Caenorhabditis elegans: one gene and its partner. The protein of the gene in region 2 purifies or fractionates together with the protein of the main gene of each other region. This does not show direct contact. Each region holds a gene or a part of one and is shown on either strand. Other genes may lie near its edges. The genes, in order: F38H4.3 and penr-1.

Region 1 (6,597 bases), on a different chromosome or scaffold from region 2:
GAATAAAGATATTGTCATTTCAACAATTGTAAAAATTAGAAGGAACTCTTTTCCCGGTCTCGGCGCGATTTTTTTGGAGATTTTTATCTTACGTTCGAGAAGTGCATAATACCAGCTATAAAATGATTAAATTTAGTTCAAAATTCTAAACGCTCTGCACACCAATCCCTAGTTAAAGGCGAAGTACCGAAATTAGACTAAAACCCCTTGTAAATCGTTCATTTTTGTACATTTTTGGGGTGAGCTTCTATGCCTTTCAACAATCCAAGTACAATCACAGTTAAAATGTGATGTGCGCATAGTGTTTTCGGCGTGGAACGCGCGTGGGAGAAAAAGGAACCGGAAAAAAAATTGCGCGCGCATTGTGCGTCGAACTTGAGATGCATTTTGCGAGCATCGCGAACATAAATTATGGACACATTGTGTTCTAAGTTCTCTTCGAAATTCTCCTCGTTGGTGATCTTTGTCATTTTTCTCTATAAGATCCACAGAGCCAATATGGGCCCATCGCAAACCGTTCGCGATAGGCGCATGACGGGTGGTCGCCACATGCGATGCGCGCATTATGGCTCTTCATCCACTATGCGCACATCTCATTTTAACTGTGTATATAATAAGCTCGTGGATTTTTTTGAATTCGTTTCTTAAGAATCGAGAGAGTTTAAGAATAGACTTTTCATTTTGAAAGAAAAAAAACAACAATAGAAAGTGACAGAAACTATGCAGGACACTATGAAAAAAGAAATACTTTGGTCATCAGAAAGAAATTTGTTTTTGTTTTCTTCAATCAAATAAGTTTCTCTGAAAAGTCGTCATCAGTGACTTCATTTCGATCTGTTTCCAACGTCACGCGCACTGGCCTCTTTGGGGAATGGATCTGAAAATAGAAACATTAATGCATATTGTGATAGTATACCATCTACGTCAGAACTATACAACACATACCTCTGCTCGGCCATCACTCTTGACAGAAATCCGTGTGATACCAATATCTGTTCCATTTTCTTTTTCAGACAAATCAGAAGCGGTTGAAACCGATGATACAGATTGCCTGTCATCTTCTCTATGCGGAGCAAAATTAACCGGATGCATTCGAACAAGAGCATTTACTGCAACAAGATGAGCATCTCCACTACCCTCATCATCAGAATCCGAATCTGATTCATCTGCATTTGCGTACATCAAGGATCTTCTAGGGGAACGAGGTGGTGGGATCGGAGAGCCGGCGACTTGTCCGTAAAGGTTTGGGGGTGGTGATAGTGGAAGTGGTGGTGGGATTTCATCAACAATAATTTCCTCTTCTTCATCTTCGGTAGTTCCTTTCAAACTTTCATCAGAGCTCAACTCTCTAAATTCTCTGATCCTTCTCTCCTCGGCGTCAGGGGTTCGTTCAGCACGAGCTGTGGTTTTTGACGACATTCCAACTACACTGATCGGCTTTCCAACATCAGAATCTTCATCTCGCTCTTCATCTGAAAAATTTCGTAATTTTTTTTGACTTCTCCACGTTTTTTACTCTCAAAAACGTTTGAACCCAAAATTCAAAAAGAACCCACTTACCCTCAGAATCTGACATTTCTGACTGTGTTGCTTCAGACATTTTTTCATTTTTGGTAAAACCATTTTCAACTTCTTCCCCATTCCCTTCGACAGGCGCTGCTTTCACGGGTGCAGGAGATGAAATAGTGGCAGATGTTTCAGCTTGAGCTTCACTTCTAATAAATTCGATAACTGACATTTTCCTGTTGTCACCCTCCACTTCTACATCCGAGTCCTCTGATCCAGATGGCATTTCCTTTGAAATTCCAGATCTTCCTTTCAACGCGGGAGCTTCATCAGACTTTTTCAGTGCTTTTTTCAGCTCATTTTCATCAATTTCCTGTATAACATTTGTTGAAATTGAAATATTATCTTCTTCAACAGCTTCTGTTCGATCTTCTTCTGTTGTTTTTAACACATTTTCCATTAATATATCATTCATATTTATACTCTCTGCATCTGGTTCACTCGGTTTTTGAGGTGGTTTTTGAGATGTTTGAGGCTTCTCTACATCATCGTCTACAGATCGTTTTGCTGCAGAAATCACATTGTTAGTTGGAGGAGATGAAGTTGGATCTGATGCAGGTTTTGGTGTATCTCCTTGTTGATATGTTAATGAACCACCTGAAAAATAGGTTTGAACTGACTGAGATGACTTAATGTATACATTTTGAAGTGTATCTCATAAAAGTAGAGTATCCGATTACACATTTCAAATAATTTTTAAATTTTATGCTTTCTAATTTTTCATCTACTGATTAACTTTTGAGCAATCTTTTTTTAATGTTTTGCCAGATTTTTACAAAACAACATTTTCAGATTGAATATATTTTTTTATTCAAGAAATTTCACAAAAAACAATTTTCAGATTTTAAATCTTTAAAACTAATTTTCTGAAAACTCACTTCTAATCAATTGAACTGGCGGCTCTTTGAGATCTGAATTACAACAACAACAAATTCTCTGAAACAGTGATGGAGATGATGTGTCAGGTGGTACTGTTGAATCAGCCACCCGACTCGTTGACTCGTCCGTAATTGTCATGGATTCTAGAATTTTTGAAATAAGTTCAACACTTTGGGCGGAAAATTGGCAAATTTCCGCAAATTTCAAGGTCTGTGAAAAGCGGCGACCAAATCGGATTAGCTGACAAGTTAACAAAAGTGACAAAGTCAAGTGGCGGAAGTGAGTCATTCTGGTTTGTTCGTTTTTTTAATGGGTCAAGTAAATAGATATATGTTTCATTGGATTGATTTTCAAAAAGTCACAAAAAAAGGTAAGGCAATTTGATTAAGACGGGGAAATATAGAAAATATCCGAACCCCACTTCAAAATTAGCAACAATTTATTTTGCTCCAGCTCCGTACTCATGGGCGCATGTAAATACACTGCGCCTCGTAAATAATGGAAAGCAAATAAAACAAATTGGAAGAAATGCGGATGAGGAAGGAATGGAGTTGAGGAGGTGGCGGTAGTGGAAGGTGGCGCAAGAGAGACTAAAAAATGCAACCGTTGCCAAATGAAACAATTTGGACTGTAGACAACTAATGGTCAATATGAAAGCTGGATTTGAGTTTGTAGTTCTTTTTGAAAAAAAGTGGTAGTTGTTGAATTATAATAACTTGTATTCAAACAGTTTAGTGCAAAATTTCCCAAAGTTTGGCAATTTGCCAAAACTTGTCTCAATATTTTTAAAAAAATAAAAAAAAATTTTTGAGGTGTTTCATTATGATACTTATTTATTTTGAAGCGCTACTCAATTTTTAAGTTGGTTCTCATGAACATTTTTGCGAGCGGAAGTTCTCAAATTAGTAAAATTTAGCTCAAAACTTTGTCTTGGTTGGTTGCAGATTATCTTTTACGCGGAAGAAACCAACTAGTGAAGAGTTAGAATGAAAATTTTCAAATGCGTTCCAAAAATGTTAGTTCCAGCTTTTCTGCCTTCAAGGCGACCTATGCCTGCTTTGTGCCTACATGAGTGCCATTTCTAGAACTTTCATCAAAATAATTGAAAAGAAAAATGAGAAAATGAAAAACCATCAAACACCAAACACCGGAGCAAACGGCGAAATGTTAATAATAGGCGGTAGGCAGGTAGGCACATAGGCACATTTATACGCTTACTAGAAAAACTGAAATTCAATAAAGGTCCAAGTTACATTTGCGTGTGGGGCGAAAGGGTTTCAAAATACTACTTCAACATTTTGATTCAAACATTGAAGTTCATAATGCCCCTTTTTGCCATTTTGACATATTATGGAGCAAACAGGTGCAAACATCAGAAAAACTAACCATTAAGTTCAGGACAAACAAGGTTTTCTTGGATTCACTTTTTATTTGCATCAATTAAACTTAAAGTAAGACTTGGGCAAACTCTGGGCTAGAACTTGGCAAGAGTTGGGTAAGAAGCTGGAAAGCACCAAACTTGGGGAAGAAGCTGCCGGGAATTGCTGAGTTGTAACCCTCATTGCTCTACTTTGACGATTTATATCTCGGTTATCTTCAATTTCATCAAAAAGTGTTCTACAGCCAAATTATGGAGAAATATTTGGCACGTATCTTGCCAGTTGACAATTATTTGATAAACCCAAGAAGAACCTAGATAGAAGCAGTCAAAGTAGACCAAAAGGGAGTGCAAGTCTAATACGAAAAGTACGGTAAAATGGTTGCTAAAACTGATAAAAATTAGATTTTTCTATTGATTTCAAATAGACAAGTTACACTGCGGATTAAGAATTTCAAATTCTGTGAGTGTGTGTAAACAAAGAGCCTAGATTCGAATCTGATGAGGAACGGGGGAGAAAACTATTTGAAAAAGAAAAAAACCAAACCGTTCGGCAATTTAATTCAATGAGAATACAATTTCTCAAATGTAGGTCAACAAGTGTTTGAGTACACAAAATTTTGTTTCAATTTTTGAAGAACTTACTGCTTCTCATTTTTGTCAAGTAGTAATAGTACTAGAATAGCGATTCTTAAGAAGAAAAAGAAGTTAGTAATGGAGATGTGTGGAATAATGAGAGGTGAACCAAAACTAAACGGATGGTGAAGAACAACATGAAACTCGAGAACACGGAATTACATATTTGGAAGAAGGAAAAAAACATGGAAATGACGAGAGACGCCGAGAAAATTGGAACCCGGCGACTGTGCTCAGCGGGAGCCACTCAAACACTCGTTCGAAATTAAGATTGTCTTTTTCTTTTTCTTTCCTTTTCGTTTTCTGTTGTGTGATAGAGAAAAGAGATTGCAAACAGACACACTCTCGAAAAAGGCGGGTGCCATGCCAACTGGTAGGAGCACGCGCCTTTCCCCCCCTTCAACCCAAAATAATAATGAGAACAGAGAAAGTGAAACAGAAGAAACATAATATTGACAATTGAGATTTGTGAACTGAAATATTATGGGAGACAATTTAAAAGAAAAAAGAAAAAGAAATAGTTGATCATTGTTTGAAAAGAAATACTAGGAACACAATGGGTGTGATTAGAGGGTGTGCAAGAAACGGAAGGAAAGAAATGTGAAAAGAAACGGAAAAGAAGGTGGTCTTTTTTTGGATTCAATTTATGATGTCATTGATATCTTGAAACTGACAAAAAAAGCTAAGTGAGGAAGTTGCAGGGGCTGACACTTTGAAATGCCTAGGCATCCCAACCGGGTGAAGCGTGGGGCGCCTTTCTCCCCTACCTTCATAAATTGCCATCATGTTAATTATTGGTGTTTCATAATAATGGAAGATTATATATTTAATTGAAAATAAATGTTTTACAAGCTATGAATTTTTTTCTCTTCGGGGCGTTTTTTAGGCGCACGGGCGTGCGGGCGAGGCGCGAGCTGGTGAGAGAGCGGGCGTATTTTCCATTTTTCTGCAAGTTGCTTGGTTTCTAAATTATTTGGTAATAAAATGTTTATCATGTTTCAATGCTCTGGTATCCAGGCACATATGCACGTGAGTAAGCGTGCTTGCCTGCCTTGTAGGCAGGCAAATAGGCATTCACGTAGGTGTTAGAGTTGGCTTAATCAAGTTCTAAAAATGGCGCAATATTTATTAGCTACTTTTATAATTTCTAATAATATACAGTTATTTACTAGGACATTTTTTCGCAAAGAAAATTTTTGAACAGCGAACACTGAAAAAGCAATTTTAATTTTTCAGTATAAAAAATTCCGTATATAAGAATTGATATCAAAAAGTTAAAAATACTAAACGATTAAAAAAATGCCATTTTTAACTTCGGTGGCCAATCATTCCAACTATTCACTATTTTCCTCTTTTCCAGCAAGAAAAATTATTATTTTTGTGTCTACTTTTCACATCCACTTGGCTCATGTATAACATTTCAACAAAATTATCTATAACTGATGACCAAACTTCAAAGTCTGTGCTACCAAGTCACATAGTGTTCATGCAGTCAATTCACCCTAGCTTCACATAACCTTTGCCTATTTGCTATGGGATTTTAGGTAAGCTTTTAGACAAATTACCGACAGTTTTTTTTTGAAAAAAATGGAGATTACTATTTGAACTGATGGAATAATTTATACAAGTTCCAACCAAAAAATTAGTTCAAAAACATGATAAGTAGTAAAACTTGTTCAATAACTACAGCATGAGACACCCTACAATTTTAGTAGTAAGGTTTCCTTTCACTTCACTGAACTTCATTTTCTTATGTTTTCCTTTGAACAATTGTACCTCTTGAAAGGTCTATCCTTGTTGTGTATTTTTTTCAATGTTTTAATATATAAAATCGAATAATCGAGAACAGAAAACAACTATACGATTCGTGTAATATCAAATAAAGTTGCATTGGAGAAATATACACCTGTTAGCATAACACTTGAGTTTCTATAGTTACCTAGCAGGAAATGGATATAAGATAACACAATGAAAGTGTTTTTATTAGGTTTGACGAGATTAAGCAATTGAAGAAATGAATGAGATGATGCTGAAAGACTAGTCTATGAATTCATAAGAAGGCAATCTTAAGCTTATCGTGACCTAAGATGAAATGATGTATATTGTTTTATGAGCTTGTCGCGATCTCGGAGGAGATA
Region 2 (3,831 bases):
CTGACCAGAGAGAGTGACCAATTGTTGGGTTGTCGACAGAAAAAGTATTGCAACAATGAATGATGAACGTTTTTTACGATTACAACTGGAAATTGAGCACTCAGCAATTCTACAAAATTACCTATTATTTGAGCCATGTTGCTCCAAGATTTTTTATTGAAAAAATAGTGTCAAAATATCAAAAAAAAACATTTGATTCATCTAAAAAATAAGATTTAATTCAGCTGAAAAATCGGGAAAATGCTCAAAAATGGCCGGAAATTCGCCAATTACCGACTTTTCGCTTCCGTTTTCGACAATTATCAACTTTCCGGGCATTTCTGAGCTTTTTCTGGAATTTTTCAGCTGATATTATTTTCAGATAAATCAAAGATTTTTCATTTTTTGGCACTTTTATTTAATGAAAATCGTTTTGTAGAATCGCCGAAAATTTCTGTGAACTTTAAAATTTGATTGAAATTTGCCTATCAAGCTTCCACTTCTACAACCTATGAGAAAATGTGCAAAATTTACGTCTGATCGTGGCGAGACCCACTTGGAAAAATAGCGTGTGCCTTTGAACTGAAATGCCAAAATTTTAGCGAATTAGAGTACTATCGGCAGGTACTAGATGCTTGTCAATGAAATTTCTTACAAAAATTGAAACATCTAATCGAATTATCTCCATTTCTACAAATTGACGACACAAATGGGAATCGGATTAATTAGGAAAAAAACGAACAGGAGAAAAGTATGAGGAAAAGCTATAAAACTTGCAAATCAACCACTCAGTGGACAATTACAATGATTATAACAGATTTTCATTAAATATTTTTGAAACAAAAACAAAACAGTGTGAAACAAATTTGGTTGAAATTCTCGAGTAAATGAAGAGTATCGCGAAAAGTTGATCATTATTGGAGATTAATAAAATAACGTTTAAAATTAATGGGGAATGGGTGGTTCACATGCTGATGGCAAGGCTTTCGTAAATATCCTTTTGAGCGGCCGGCAGTTTTTCGAACTTCTTTTGCAGCTTGATCTCGCGTTCCTCGTCAGACAGGTCACGATACCTGAAAAATATTTTTTTTTAAATTGAAACTCGGCAAAGAAACACTCACTTATCGTTCTTTGTTCTACAGAAGAGGCTGAATGCCGTCTCTGGATCCTTCTTGCTAGATCTCTTCTTTGGTGTGCTTGAAATTTCCTTTGAGTTGTATTTCTTGTTGAGCATCTTCATCTTGTTAACGATTGATCGCTTCTGTTCTTCTGTCAGATTTGGATGCGTATCAAGGAACTCCTGAAGTTGTGGAATGTACTGCAACGAAGCTTCTCGGAGTAGCTCGTCGAGTTCTTTCGCACCCTCCGTATCCGCATTCATTGCTTTGTAGGCGTTTTTCATCGGTTCACCACCGATTCCTTTCAACATAATCTGATGTTTCTTTATGTAAAGCTGTATTTTTGTAGGTGGACGATCCGGCATTGACTTGTACTCGACCAGAGATTTTTCACTGTTCAGATAGGTGGATATGGCGGCACACGAATCGTTCATTTGCAGATTTTTGAATTTCACCGCACTTTTCAGATACTTACGGAAGTCGAGAACGAACAATCTGAAATAATAAATTTTTAATTTAAACCAAAATTTCAGAAAGAGCTACCCTGCGTCAATATTATCATCTCGACGTGTTTCAGCCCATTCCGCAACCTTGTTTTCCATGTTATGGACTGTACTCGTTTCAGACTGCCTTTGAACAAGGAATTCTAAGAAAGACTCAATCAAAGGGCGCATTACATCAGGCTCGTAAATCGCTTGACCGTTGTCTTCATTTCTCGTCTCTTCAGCCTCGGTATGAGTAATTTGCTCTTCTTCGAAGTCCTCCGGCTCGGAATCCTGAAGAATCATCTTTTATTAGTGAAGAAATTGGGTTATTTTTACCGAAGAGTCCGCAGCTGGCCGCTTTTCCGCTTTAACCGACTTTAGAGCAGCAAAAGTTTCCGATTTCTTCTCTTTTTTTGGGCTCGATCCAGCGTTACTCGCATTCTTGCGTTTAGTCATTTCAACTGAAAATTGTAACGTAGGCAAAAAAAAATCGATAAATTCATAATCCACAGTTATTAAGTTTTAAAAATGCAAAATACACTTGATTTATGATAAATTCCGTGTTTAAAAGTACTTTTTACCAGAAACTTAAGGTTAATATAATATTTATGCGATAATTTTGAAGAAAACGAAGAAAACCAAAAGAAACAGTCAGTCACCAATAATAATTTGGGTGCTGGCACGATGCCAAGCATTGCATTCGAAATAATATTCGATGTTCGCGGTGGAGCGCACTTACCTCGCACCAATTCACTTTCGGCGGCAATTTGAATTTGAGTTTTTTGTGGCTGTTGAAAAAGTCTCGTTCTGTGATGGAAAATTGTATTGTAATCCGTTTTAAAGAAGCAAGAATTTATTTAGATCGGTCTCGATGCGCAAAAATGGTTATCGTAAATTTTTTTGAACATTTTCGGCTGCTTTCTTGTGTTTTCTAGCATTTTGATCAATCATATGTATTATTAAACGACGTAATTATTAATAATTACGTCGTTTTTATCAAACTCTGTCGTTTTCTGTTTATTTTTCAGTTAAAAATTGTTCTAATATTTTGTTCTAAATTAATAGCAAAATTACGATATTTCAAAAAAACACGAGTTGTTTTTTAAGTCGAGATTATTTTTTGAATGAATAGAAGCTTTATTGTGCAAAACTCATTTTTACAGAACATCATTCAGCGGTACGCTGAATCAAGATTAAAATGTTTTTAAAAAGCATTTCGTTTAACAATCTCGTTGTCTGACACATCCGGAAGGTCCTCGGACAAATCCCTCAGAGCATTGACACACGTTCACAATACACTGCATAGTGCACGCTTGTGGACGTGGAGTAGTACAGCTCGGCTCACACGAAGATCCGCAGGTTCTGAATGTTTCGTTACGTCCGCATCTCTGAGGAGATTGAGATGGGAACGGAGTGGAGCTTCCGAAACCAGTTCCAGGTCTGGAGCATTGAGCTTGACGCACACATTGTCTGGTGATCTCGTTACGAACGTATCCGCTTCTGCATTGGCAGACGTTGTTGATGCATTGCTTGGTGCACATCTAAAAACACGCTTTGATCTTCGAAAAATGCGGGAGGTGAGACGCATACATCTCATATGATTTCGCATGGTTAAGAGCGTACTGACGTCACAATTTTCTAGGAAAAAAACCCGCATTTTTTGTAGATCAAACTTAGGCGTGCAGAATTTTCGCGTGACGGTGTTTGCACAGAAATACCCGAAGAGTCGGCAGATAGCTTACCGGGTTCGGATTGGTGCATGATGGCTCACAGGCGGTTCCACAAGTCTTATATTCTTCATTTCGTCCACGGCATGGCAATCTTTGCCCACCACCAACTTGTCCACCTACTGGCAGAATTTGAGCTAAATTTAAAAAAATATGTCATGCTTATTATAAGTTTCAGAATATTTACCATCTTGAGCGTAGACGTAGCATCCAATTAAAGCTGCGAGAACGATGAAAACTTTCTGGAAATGGTTTACTTAAAGACTTACAGACACGAGGAAATTTTACAAATATATGTATAACAAATACTCACCATTGTTGAGAACTTATGACACTTTGAAAAATAGCAAATAACAATTATTTGTAGTACAATAACCGCTGGTCGCAAATTGACTCTGCCTTTCCATCCATTTCCTTACCATTTTATACCCTTTTGCTGTGTGCCGCCCAGTTCTCGAAAAAACGAAAAAGAAGTGACAAAGTTCGGAGGATCAACTAGATACCAGTTGTTCACACATAACT

Evidence for each region.
Region 1: the proteins of penr-1 (region 2) and F38H4.3 fractionate together in Caenorhabditis elegans (co-fractionation; one large-scale study listed by BioGRID). This does not show direct contact.

Annotation. Positions count from the first base shown.
Region 1 is NC_003282.8:11,840,433-11,847,029, reverse strand, and holds F38H4.3 (BMERB domain-containing protein), read right to left. Parts: upstream 4,610-6,597; 5' UTR 4,469-4,609; intron 2,589-4,468; 5' UTR 2,584-2,588; coding exon 2,445-2,583; intron 2,164-2,444; coding exon 1,561-2,163; intron 1,473-1,560; coding exon 946-1,472; intron 878-945; coding exon 788-877; 3' UTR 661-787; downstream 1-660.
Region 2 is NC_003283.11:5,267,697-5,271,527, reverse strand, and holds penr-1 (HMG box domain-containing protein), read right to left. Parts: upstream 2,044-3,831; 5' UTR 2,039-2,043; coding exon 1,919-2,038; intron 1,874-1,918; coding exon 1,641-1,873; intron 1,593-1,640; coding exon 1,101-1,592; intron 1,053-1,100; coding exon 944-1,052; 3' UTR 784-943; downstream 1-783. Other genes in the region: spi-2 (TIL domain-containing protein), read right to left, coding at 2,803-3,123, 3,325-3,446, 3,497-3,551, 3,623-3,625.